2 linked regions of the Saccharomyces cerevisiae S288C genome follow. The protein of the gene in region 1 binds, or shares a complex with, the protein of each later gene. Each region holds a gene or a part of one and is shown in the gene's direction. Other genes may lie near its edges.

What was found. Proteins that work in one complex are often made in the same cells at the same time.
Region 2: the proteins of ARF1 (region 1) and GEA2 are in contact, whole or in part, in a cryo-EM structure (PDB 7URO), measured with the Saccharomyces cerevisiae proteins. Residues at the interface, in NP_010089.1 of Saccharomyces cerevisiae: Glu17 (codon at 1,949), Arg19 (codon at 1,955), Met22 (codon at 1,964), Gly24 (codon at 1,970), Leu25 (codon at 1,973), Gly27 (codon at 1,979), Lys30 (codon at 1,988), Ile46 (codon at 2,036), Pro47 (codon at 2,039), Thr48 (codon at 2,042), Ile49 (codon at 2,045), Gly50 (codon at 2,048), Phe51 (codon at 2,051), Asn52 (codon at 2,054), Val53 (codon at 2,057), Thr55 (codon at 2,063), Thr64 (codon at 2,090), Trp66 (codon at 2,096), Asp67 (codon at 2,099), Val68 (codon at 2,102), Gly69 (codon at 2,105), Gly70 (codon at 2,108), Gln71 (codon at 2,111), Arg73 (codon at 2,117), Ile74 (codon at 2,120), Ser76 (codon at 2,126), Leu77 (codon at 2,129), Trp78 (codon at 2,132), His80 (codon at 2,138), Tyr81 (codon at 2,141); in NP_010892.1 of Saccharomyces cerevisiae: Leu646 (codon at 3,729), Arg650 (codon at 3,741), Leu651 (codon at 3,744), Pro652 (codon at 3,747), Gly653 (codon at 3,750), Glu654 (codon at 3,753), Ser655 (codon at 3,756), Gln656 (codon at 3,759), Gln657 (codon at 3,762), Ile658 (codon at 3,765), Glu659 (codon at 3,768), Phe699 (codon at 3,888), Ile700 (codon at 3,891), Tyr703 (codon at 3,900), Ile706 (codon at 3,909), Met707 (codon at 3,912), Asn709 (codon at 3,918), Thr710 (codon at 3,921), Asp711 (codon at 3,924), His713 (codon at 3,930), Asn714 (codon at 3,933), Pro715 (codon at 3,936), Gln716 (codon at 3,939), Val717 (codon at 3,942), Lys718 (codon at 3,945), Glu719 (codon at 3,948), Met721 (codon at 3,954), Asp725 (codon at 3,966), Asn729 (codon at 3,978), Leu730 (codon at 3,981).

The regions. Positions count from the first base shown.
Region 1 is NC_001136.10:114,421-117,426, forward strand, and holds ARF1 (Arf family GTPase ARF1), read left to right. Parts: upstream 1-1,900; coding exon 1,901-2,446; downstream 2,447-3,006. Other genes in the region: NUS1 (ditrans,polycis-polyprenyl diphosphate synthase), read left to right, coding at 252-1,379. UniProt on the Saccharomyces cerevisiae protein: GTP-binding protein involved in Golgi vesicle trafficking. May modulate vesicle budding and uncoating within the Golgi apparatus. May recruit the lipid transfer protein VPS13 to Golgi membranes.
Region 2 is NC_001137.3:109,628-116,360, forward strand, and holds GEA2 (Arf family guanine nucleotide exchange factor GEA2), read left to right. Parts: upstream 1-1,793; coding exon 1,794-6,173; downstream 6,174-6,733. Other genes in the region: YEL023C (uncharacterized protein), read right to left, coding at 1-925; URA3 (orotidine-5'-phosphate decarboxylase), read left to right, coding at 6,540-6,733. UniProt on the Saccharomyces cerevisiae protein: Activates the ARF proteins by exchanging bound GDP for free GTP. Plays a role in maintaining mitochondrial morphology. Stimulates DRS2 flippase activity.

The DNA.
Region 1 (3,006 bases):
CACTTTTGGATACTTAGCCGCCGACGGATACCATCTTCGGTCAACGTCGGAAGTCATTATAAACGAAAAGGTTTCCCAATAGAAAAGTCCTGCAGGAGCCACGTATAACACTGGCTTGAATTATCAACAACTCTCGAAGGCGCTGGAAGAGAATTTTTACGCAAGTTAGTATTCGCATAACATTAGTTGGCAAATTACACAATTTTTTGATACAATATATATACATATATTTTCCCCATTGTTTTTCTTAGATGCCCACGATGATCAAAAAGGATGATAAAGCAATGGAGCCCCCTAATGAAAAACCGCATAGAAAGATCGAAAGAGATGATGTTCCAGAATCTTCCAATCACATCCCACCTCCAGAATCTGGTGTTTTAAAGGGCGGTAAAGTTAATTCAAAAACCAGAGCTTTAAAGGCCGTTACAAGTATCATTGCAGACGCCGATGAGAACCCTCAGAAGAAAGTGAACAATGAGACGAATGGAGTCCAAAAGCAAAAGACAGAAGATTTGAGTAAAAGAATAGGTAAATTTGAATACCTTTTTTACAAGTTTTTACTTGTGTTGTTATACATCTGCTTCGGGTTGTTTCGGTACGGTCAATACCAATATAATAAAATGAAACTAAGAATATTCAGTATCATCTACAACCATGCATATACACCACAGTTGATTAGACAGGACGTTATTCCTCTGAAAAAAATTCCTAAAAGGTTGGCCGCTATCTTGGAAGTCAAGCCAGTTGGCGACGTTGGCGGCGGTGTGACAGGTTTATTAAATGACGCGAGTGAAATTGTTTGCTGGACTGTTTCAGCTGGTATAAAACATTTGATGTTGTACGATTACGATGGAATATTACAAAGAAATGTTCCAGAGCTGAGAATGGAAATTCATTCCAACCTGGCTAAATATTTTGGGCCAGCTCATGTTCCAAACTACGCTGTTAAAATACCTCATTCTAACAAGATATTCTACAATCTAGACGGAATTGAAACCGAGACTGATGTAGGCAATGAGATAGAAGCTAACCAAGAAAAGGACAAAATTGCTATTGAAATTTCTTTATTGTCTAACAGAGATGGTAGAGAAACGATTGTCGATCTGACCAAAACTATGGCTGAGTTATGTGCGGTTAACGAATTGAGCGTTTCTGACATCACAATGGATTTAGTTGATTCAGAACTGAAACAACTAGTTGGACCCGAACCAGATTTACTGTTATACTTCGGGCCTTCGTTGGATTTACAAGGGTTCCCACCTTGGCATATTAGATTAACCGAATTTTATTGGGAAAAAGATAACAACGAAGTCATATATTCGGTTTTCATCCGCGGCCTAAGACAGTACGCAGGATGTAAAGTGAATGTTGGTAAATGATACTTAAGAGCTAAACGAAAAGATAAGTATCTCGCTCAACCTTTTAATTTTGCACAGTTGAATTCTCGTCTGATACTTAAGAAAGTCATTGCCCACATATATAACAGTAGTAATAATGATAATGATAGCAATAGTTTTAAGCTAGCTACTTAGTTGCATTTTTCAATAGTTTAGTAAAAAAAGTCACGCAATAAGCTCTCAAGAAGCCACTAATACCGTAATGATAGCAGTTTATTGTAGAAAAACCATGTTATTACCCTTCCCTTTTTATTTCTTTTCGCGTTGCAAATCACATATAACGAGGTGGCTTGTATTTGTCAAACCAAAAAAAAAAATGAAAATCGAAAAATGGAAAAACAGAGAGAGAAACGGAATCTTTGACACGTTCTCGATCCACTTGTTTATCGAGGTGGTTTTTATAAGTCTTACTAGATAGAAAGTTCATTTTGTTTTGAAACTTTTTGGAACCTCTGGCATTGAAGGTATAAGAAAGAACTCAAACAGGTTTAATAGAATTAAAAATGGGTTTGTTTGCCTCTAAGTTGTTCAGTAACCTTTTTGGTAACAAAGAAATGCGTATTCTTATGGTTGGTCTTGATGGTGCTGGTAAGACCACCGTTTTGTACAAGTTGAAATTGGGTGAAGTTATCACTACCATTCCAACAATTGGTTTCAACGTTGAAACTGTCCAATATAAGAACATTTCATTCACTGTCTGGGATGTCGGTGGACAAGACAGAATTAGATCTCTATGGAGACACTACTACAGAAACACTGAAGGTGTTATCTTTGTTGTCGATTCTAACGATAGATCGCGTATTGGTGAAGCTAGAGAAGTTATGCAAAGAATGTTGAACGAAGATGAATTGAGAAACGCCGCTTGGTTGGTGTTCGCTAACAAGCAAGATTTGCCAGAAGCCATGTCTGCTGCTGAAATCACTGAAAAACTAGGTTTACATTCTATTAGAAACCGTCCATGGTTTATCCAAGCCACGTGTGCTACCTCCGGTGAAGGTTTGTATGAAGGTTTGGAATGGTTAAGTAACAGTTTGAAAAACTCAACTTAAAAATTCTAGAATATGGATCAAATACGCTTGTATAAACTAAATGAAACATAAAGATTAAGAACTTAAGAGGCCAACGTCGATGGATTTATTGACGATCACCAGCCAACACATATAGATTTTAGTGTAAAAGCAATAAAAACCAAGATAATAAAATAAAAAAATACTGAAGAAGCCTAACTAGTATAAACTACTTTAACTAATAATGGCAATTTGATATAGAAACAAAGAAACATGATATATTTAGGATATTATACAACGCATTTTCATTTGTTTTACAGCACCCCTGCGTGAATCATATATTGACGTTTCGCTCTCAGGTCCACCGTGTTCTCAAAAGATACTTTTAAAACCTAAAACACACGAAATCATATTATGATAATTCAGAATGATAGTGTGGTACTGTGTCAATTGACTGTTCAAGACTGAAGAGGATCTTTGATTTGTTGTTACTCAACAAATAATCTTCACGAAAACTTTCTCAATCTGGGGACTGTATTAATCTCAGACCCATACATATCTACACCCATAACTTTTTACATTTAATTTTTTATCACATAATA
Region 2 (6,733 bases), on another chromosome or scaffold:
GATTACTAATAGAATGTGCGCCACTTTTTAAAGTGTATTTTATCAAAGGATTTTCCGGGGTTAGATCACGCATTAATGCATTAGAAGTTGGCACCGGCGAACACTGGTCAGTTATATGATTACAATATGTCAATGAAAATAGTTTCGGAATGTACGGCATCGGAGTGAAACATAACTGCTTGAATTTTCCACGTCTTTCATCCAAGGATACGCAATGTCGAACATGCTCAACGATATTGCTTCTCTGGGTGCAAGGAAACAACCTGTCCCTTAATATTCCAACTGAGTTCACAGAATCGAATAAGCCTTGAAAATGTATCTTTACCTCGTAATCCCTAGAGAATGTTTTCTTGAATTCTTCAGCCAAGGTACTTGTGTACTGTAATTCATTAGGCTGCGAATCGTATTCCCATTTTTCATAGATTTGCCATGCCATTTTAACCATTTCTTCCAAACCTTTACTCAAAAGTCCGACTCTTTCAATCATTCCAGCAAGAACTCTTGCAATAAAAGCTCCTCTAGAAAAGCCAAACATATAAATTCTATCTCCTGGTTCAAAATACTTCATCAAAAAAAGATATGCAGAACATATGTGATTGTCTAAACTGAATGCGAACATAGAATCTAATAAATTTTGTAAGTGAGAAATAGTTAACCGTCTTCTGACATCAACAACAGCGTCAAATCCAACTGAACCAATTCCAGGTTGGTAATAACAAATTTGTTCAGAACTATCACCGTTCTCAAGAAGGTTGTACAATTTTAAAATATTAGTGAATGGCTGAGGTCCAAAATTTTCTCTTGTTCCATCAAAACAAAGAATGATATTCTTGCCAGACGATGAATGTGAGGATGGATTTATACTTCTGTCGCCTCCCGTCCCATTTTTTTTATATTTTCCATGAATATAATTGAAGCTATCCATCTAATGGATATTATGTTAGTGTATTATTTTTTATAAGTTACATCACCTGTTTGCTGTTATTTTACTACATCTGTCTGAAGTACATTAATTTGTGGCGGTTTAACAGTATATTGAATGTGACAAACACACCCAGACACCTCAATAGACAACAGGAGGGCCATTACCATAATTTCATAACATTAAATATTCCAAGTAACATTTTTCAGAAGACGAAGAAAGACTAATTAACAGGATAATAAATATTAACATTATCTTTTAAGTACCATACTTGAAGCGTCAATTGATGTATGTTTGGTTTTCCACTATTTTCCTAAAAGCATGAATCTTTTCTAGGCAAAAAATTGGAATGACGACTCCTGATCGTTAAAATGGAAGACAAACACTAGAAGTTGACTTCAAAAAAACTTCTTTCATTAAATAAGGGAAATATCCGGCCGGCTCATACTGATAATATACCAGCAACATTTACAGGAAACTGCAGGTTTTAGGCAGTGTGGCGAACCGCAAATAAAGTAATAAACAACAATTTCAAACGGAAAGGACTCCTCTGCTAAAGATTTGATGTTTTTAAGTTCTTTTATAGTTTATATTGGCATAAGAGGTAAACCATATTTAGCACTTATTTTCATAAAGTATTAGAAGTGTTCTTATATATTTCATTACCCGACTTGAAAAATACTACGCGGTTCATTGCGAGAACCTTCAATAAGTGTCGAAAGAGCACCTACATTGGCGTTTAAATAATAAACACACCAACCTACATATTACGTTGAATTTAAATTCTTTCACTGCTTGTAAACCATAGACAATAAACTGATTAATTTAGTATCTAAAAAATCTTTTAAAGGGAAAGAGAAGAGGCGGAAAGATGAGTGATAGGGAATTCGTCACGGTAGATCCCGTCACTATCATAATCAAAGAATGCATTAATTTATCGACAGCGATGCGGAAATACTCTAAATTTACCTCTCAATCTGGAGTGGCCGCTTTGCTGGGGGGAGGAAGTGAAATATTTAGCAATCAAGATGACTACTTGGCTCACACATTCAACAATTTGAATACCAACAAGCACAATGATCCATTTTTATCTGGATTCATTCAGTTAAGACTTATGTTGAATAAACTGAAAAATCTAGATAATATAGATTCACTAACCATATTGCAGCCATTTTTATTAATTGTGAGTACAAGTTCCATTTCTGGTTACATCACTTCCCTGGCCCTGGACTCTTTGCAGAAATTCTTTACCTTGAATATCATCAATGAATCATCGCAAAACTATATTGGTGCACACAGGGCGACGGTAAATGCTCTAACACATTGTAGGTTTGAAGGATCTCAACAACTTTCTGATGATTCAGTTCTTTTGAAAGTCGTGTTTTTACTGCGTTCAATCGTCGACTCACCTTACGGAGATTTATTATCAAACTCTATCATATATGACGTATTGCAAACGATTCTTTCATTGGCTTGTAATAACAGAAGGAGCGAAGTCCTTAGGAATGCTGCACAATCAACAATGATAGCCGTTACCGTAAAGATTTTCTCAAAACTAAAGACTATTGAGCCTGTTAATGTGAATCAAATATACATCAATGATGAAAGTTACACAAATGATGTATTGAAGGCCGATACAATTGGCACAAATGTAGAATCCAAAGAAGAAGGAAGTCAAGAAGATCCCATCGGCATGAAAGTGAATAATGAGGAAGCTATTAGCGAGGACGATGGCATTGAAGAAGAGCATATTCATTCAGAGAAGAGCACAAATGGCGCCGAACAACTAGATATTGTGCAAAAAACAACAAGATCAAATTCCAGGATCCAAGCGTATGCTGATGATAACTATGGATTGCCCGTGGTTAGGCAATATTTAAACTTATTACTATCATTGATTGCGCCAGAAAATGAATTAAAACATTCATACTCCACTAGAATATTTGGCCTAGAGTTAATTCAAACGGCATTAGAAATTTCAGGTGATCGATTGCAGCTATACCCACGGCTTTTTACACTGATATCAGATCCTATTTTCAAAAGCATTTTGTTTATCATACAGAACACTACAAAATTATCACTACTTCAAGCTACATTGCAGCTATTTACTACTCTAGTTGTTATATTGGGCAACAACTTACAATTACAGATCGAGCTCACTCTAACAAGAATATTTTCTATTCTTTTAGATGATGGTACCGCAAATAACTCGAGTTCTGAAAATAAGAACAAGCCATCAATAATAAAGGAACTTCTAATTGAGCAAATATCCATCTTATGGACTAGGTCGCCATCTTTTTTTACTTCTACTTTTATCAATTTCGATTGTAATCTCGATAGGGCAGACGTTTCCATAAACTTTTTGAAGGCTTTGACTAAATTGGCCTTACCAGAATCCGCCTTAACTACCACAGAAAGTGTACCACCCATTTGCCTTGAGGGATTGGTCTCCCTAGTCGATGATATGTTCGATCACATGAAGGACATTGACAGAGAAGAATTTGGCAGGCAAAAGAATGAAATGGAAATCTTAAAAAAGAGGGACCGTAAAACAGAGTTTATTGAATGTACCAATGCATTCAATGAAAAGCCCAAAAAGGGTATTCCGATGTTAATAGAAAAAGGTTTCATTGCTTCCGACTCCGATAAAGATATTGCGGAGTTTCTTTTCAATAATAACAACCGTATGAATAAAAAAACAATCGGTTTGCTACTTTGCCATCCGGACAAAGTAAGCTTGTTGAATGAATATATTCGTTTGTTTGATTTTTCAGGGTTAAGGGTCGATGAAGCTATTAGAATTTTGTTGACGAAATTTAGGTTGCCTGGTGAATCGCAACAAATTGAAAGAATCATCGAAGCCTTCTCGTCTGCGTATTGTGAAAATCAAGATTACGATCCATCCAAAATCAGTGACAACGCGGAGGATGACATTTCTACTGTTCAACCAGACGCTGATTCTGTTTTCATTTTAAGTTATTCAATTATTATGTTGAACACTGACCTACATAACCCTCAAGTGAAGGAACACATGTCATTTGAAGATTACTCTGGTAACTTAAAGGGATGCTGTAATCACAAAGACTTCCCATTCTGGTATTTGGATAGAATTTACTGTTCAATCAGAGATAAAGAAATTGTTATGCCTGAAGAGCACCACGGCAACGAAAAGTGGTTTGAAGATGCTTGGAATAACTTGATATCTTCAACTACTGTTATAACTGAAATAAAAAAAGACACACAATCTGTCATGGATAAATTAACACCCTTGGAGCTTTTGAACTTTGATAGAGCAATTTTTAAACAAGTTGGCCCAAGTATTGTCAGTACTTTATTCAACATTTACGTAGTTGCATCTGATGACCATATATCTACCAGAATGATAACAAGTTTGGACAAATGTTCCTATATTTCCGCATTTTTTGACTTCAAAGATCTCTTTAATGATATACTAAACTCCATTGCTAAGGGCACTACTTTGATTAATTCAAGCCATGACGATGAACTTTCAACTTTAGCTTTTGAATATGGCCCAATGCCACTGGTGCAAATTAAATTCGAAGACACTAACACTGAGATCCCGGTTAGTACAGATGCTGTTAGATTTGGTAGATCATTTAAGGGTCAACTAAATACAGTTGTTTTTTTCCGGATTATTCGCAGGAACAAAGATCCTAAAATTTTCTCCAAGGAATTATGGTTAAACATTGTTAATATTATACTAACATTGTACGAAGACTTGATTTTGTCTCCTGATATTTTCCCTGATTTACAAAAAAGACTGAAATTAAGCAACTTGCCTAAGCCATCTCCTGAAATTTCTATTAACAAGAGCAAAGAAAGCAAAGGTCTCTTATCAACATTTGCTTCTTATTTAAAAGGTGATGAAGAACCCACAGAAGAGGAAATCAAATCCTCAAAAAAAGCGATGGAGTGCATAAAGTCGAGTAATATTGCCGCCTCTGTCTTTGGAAATGAATCAAATATAACAGCGGATTTAATAAAAACTTTACTAGACTCCGCCAAAACTGAGAAAAACGCAGATAATTCCAGGTATTTTGAAGCAGAACTTTTATTTATCATCGAATTGACTATTGCATTATTTCTATTTTGCAAAGAGGAGAAAGAATTAGGAAAGTTCATACTTCAAAAAGTTTTCCAACTTTCTCACACGAAAGGCCTCACGAAAAGGACTGTTCGTAGAATGCTAACATACAAAATTTTGTTAATTTCGTTATGTGCGGATCAGACGGAGTACTTGTCCAAATTAATAAACGATGAGCTGTTAAAAAAGGGGGATATTTTTACCCAAAAATTTTTTGCAACTAATCAAGGTAAGGAATTTTTGAAGAGACTATTTTCATTGACCGAATCAGAGTTTTATAGAGGATTTTTACTAGGAAATGAGAATTTTTGGAAATTTTTAAGAAAAGTTACAGCAATGAAAGAGCAGAGCGAGAGCATTTTTGAATATTTAAATGAATCGATCAAGACAGACAGCAATATTTTGACAAATGAGAACTTCATGTGGGTCCTAGGACTATTAGATGAAATTTCATCAATGGGTGCCGTTGGAAATCACTGGGAAATAGAATACAAGAAATTGACAGAAAGTGGTCATAAAATTGATAAGGAGAATCCATACAAGAAATCGATCGAATTATCATTGAAATCCATTCAACTAACATCACACTTGCTGGAAGATAATAACGATCTGCGTAAAAACGAGATATTCGCTATTATTCAAGCTTTGGCACATCAATGCATCAATCCGTGTAAGCAGATAAGTGAATTTGCAGTGGTAACGCTAGAGCAGACGCTCATCAATAAAATCGAAATTCCAACTAATGAGATGGAATCGGTAGAAGAATTAATTGAGGGCGGATTACTACCGTTGCTAAATTCGAGTGAAACACAGGAAGACCAGAAAATCCTCATTTCATCCATATTAACAATAATTTCAAATGTTTATTTGCATTATTTGAAACTAGGGAAGACAAGCAACGAAACGTTTTTGAAAATTTTGAGTATTTTCAATAAATTTGTAGAGGACTCAGATATTGAAAAAAAGCTACAGCAATTAATACTTGATAAGAAGAGTATTGAGAAGGGCAACGGTTCATCATCTCATGGATCTGCACATGAACAAACACCAGAGTCAAACGACGTTGAAATTGAGGCTACTGCGCCAATTGATGACAATACAGACGATGATAACAAACCGAAGTTATCTGATGTAGAAAAGGATTAAAGATGCTAAGAGATAGTGATGATATTTCATAAATAATGTAATTCTATATATGTTAATTACCTTTTTTGCGAGGCATATTTATGGTGAAGGATAAGTTTTGACCATCAAAGAAGGTTAATGTGGCTGTGGTTTCAGGGTCCATAAAGCTTTTCAATTCATCTTTTTTTTTTTTGTTCTTTTTTTTGATTCCGGTTTCTTTGAAATTTTTTTGATTCGGTAATCTCCGAGCAGAAGGAAGAACGAAGGAAGGAGCACAGACTTAGATTGGTATATATACGCATATGTGGTGTTGAAGAAACATGAAATTGCCCAGTATTCTTAACCCAACTGCACAGAACAAAAACCTGCAGGAAACGAAGATAAATCATGTCGAAAGCTACATATAAGGAACGTGCTGCTACTCATCCTAGTCCTGTTGCTGCCAAGCTATTTAATATCATGCACGAAAAGCAAACAAACTTGTGTGCTTCATTGGATGTTCGTACCACCAAGGAATTACTGGAGTTAGTTGAAGCATTAGGTCCCAAAATTTGTTTACTAAAAACACATGTGGATATCTT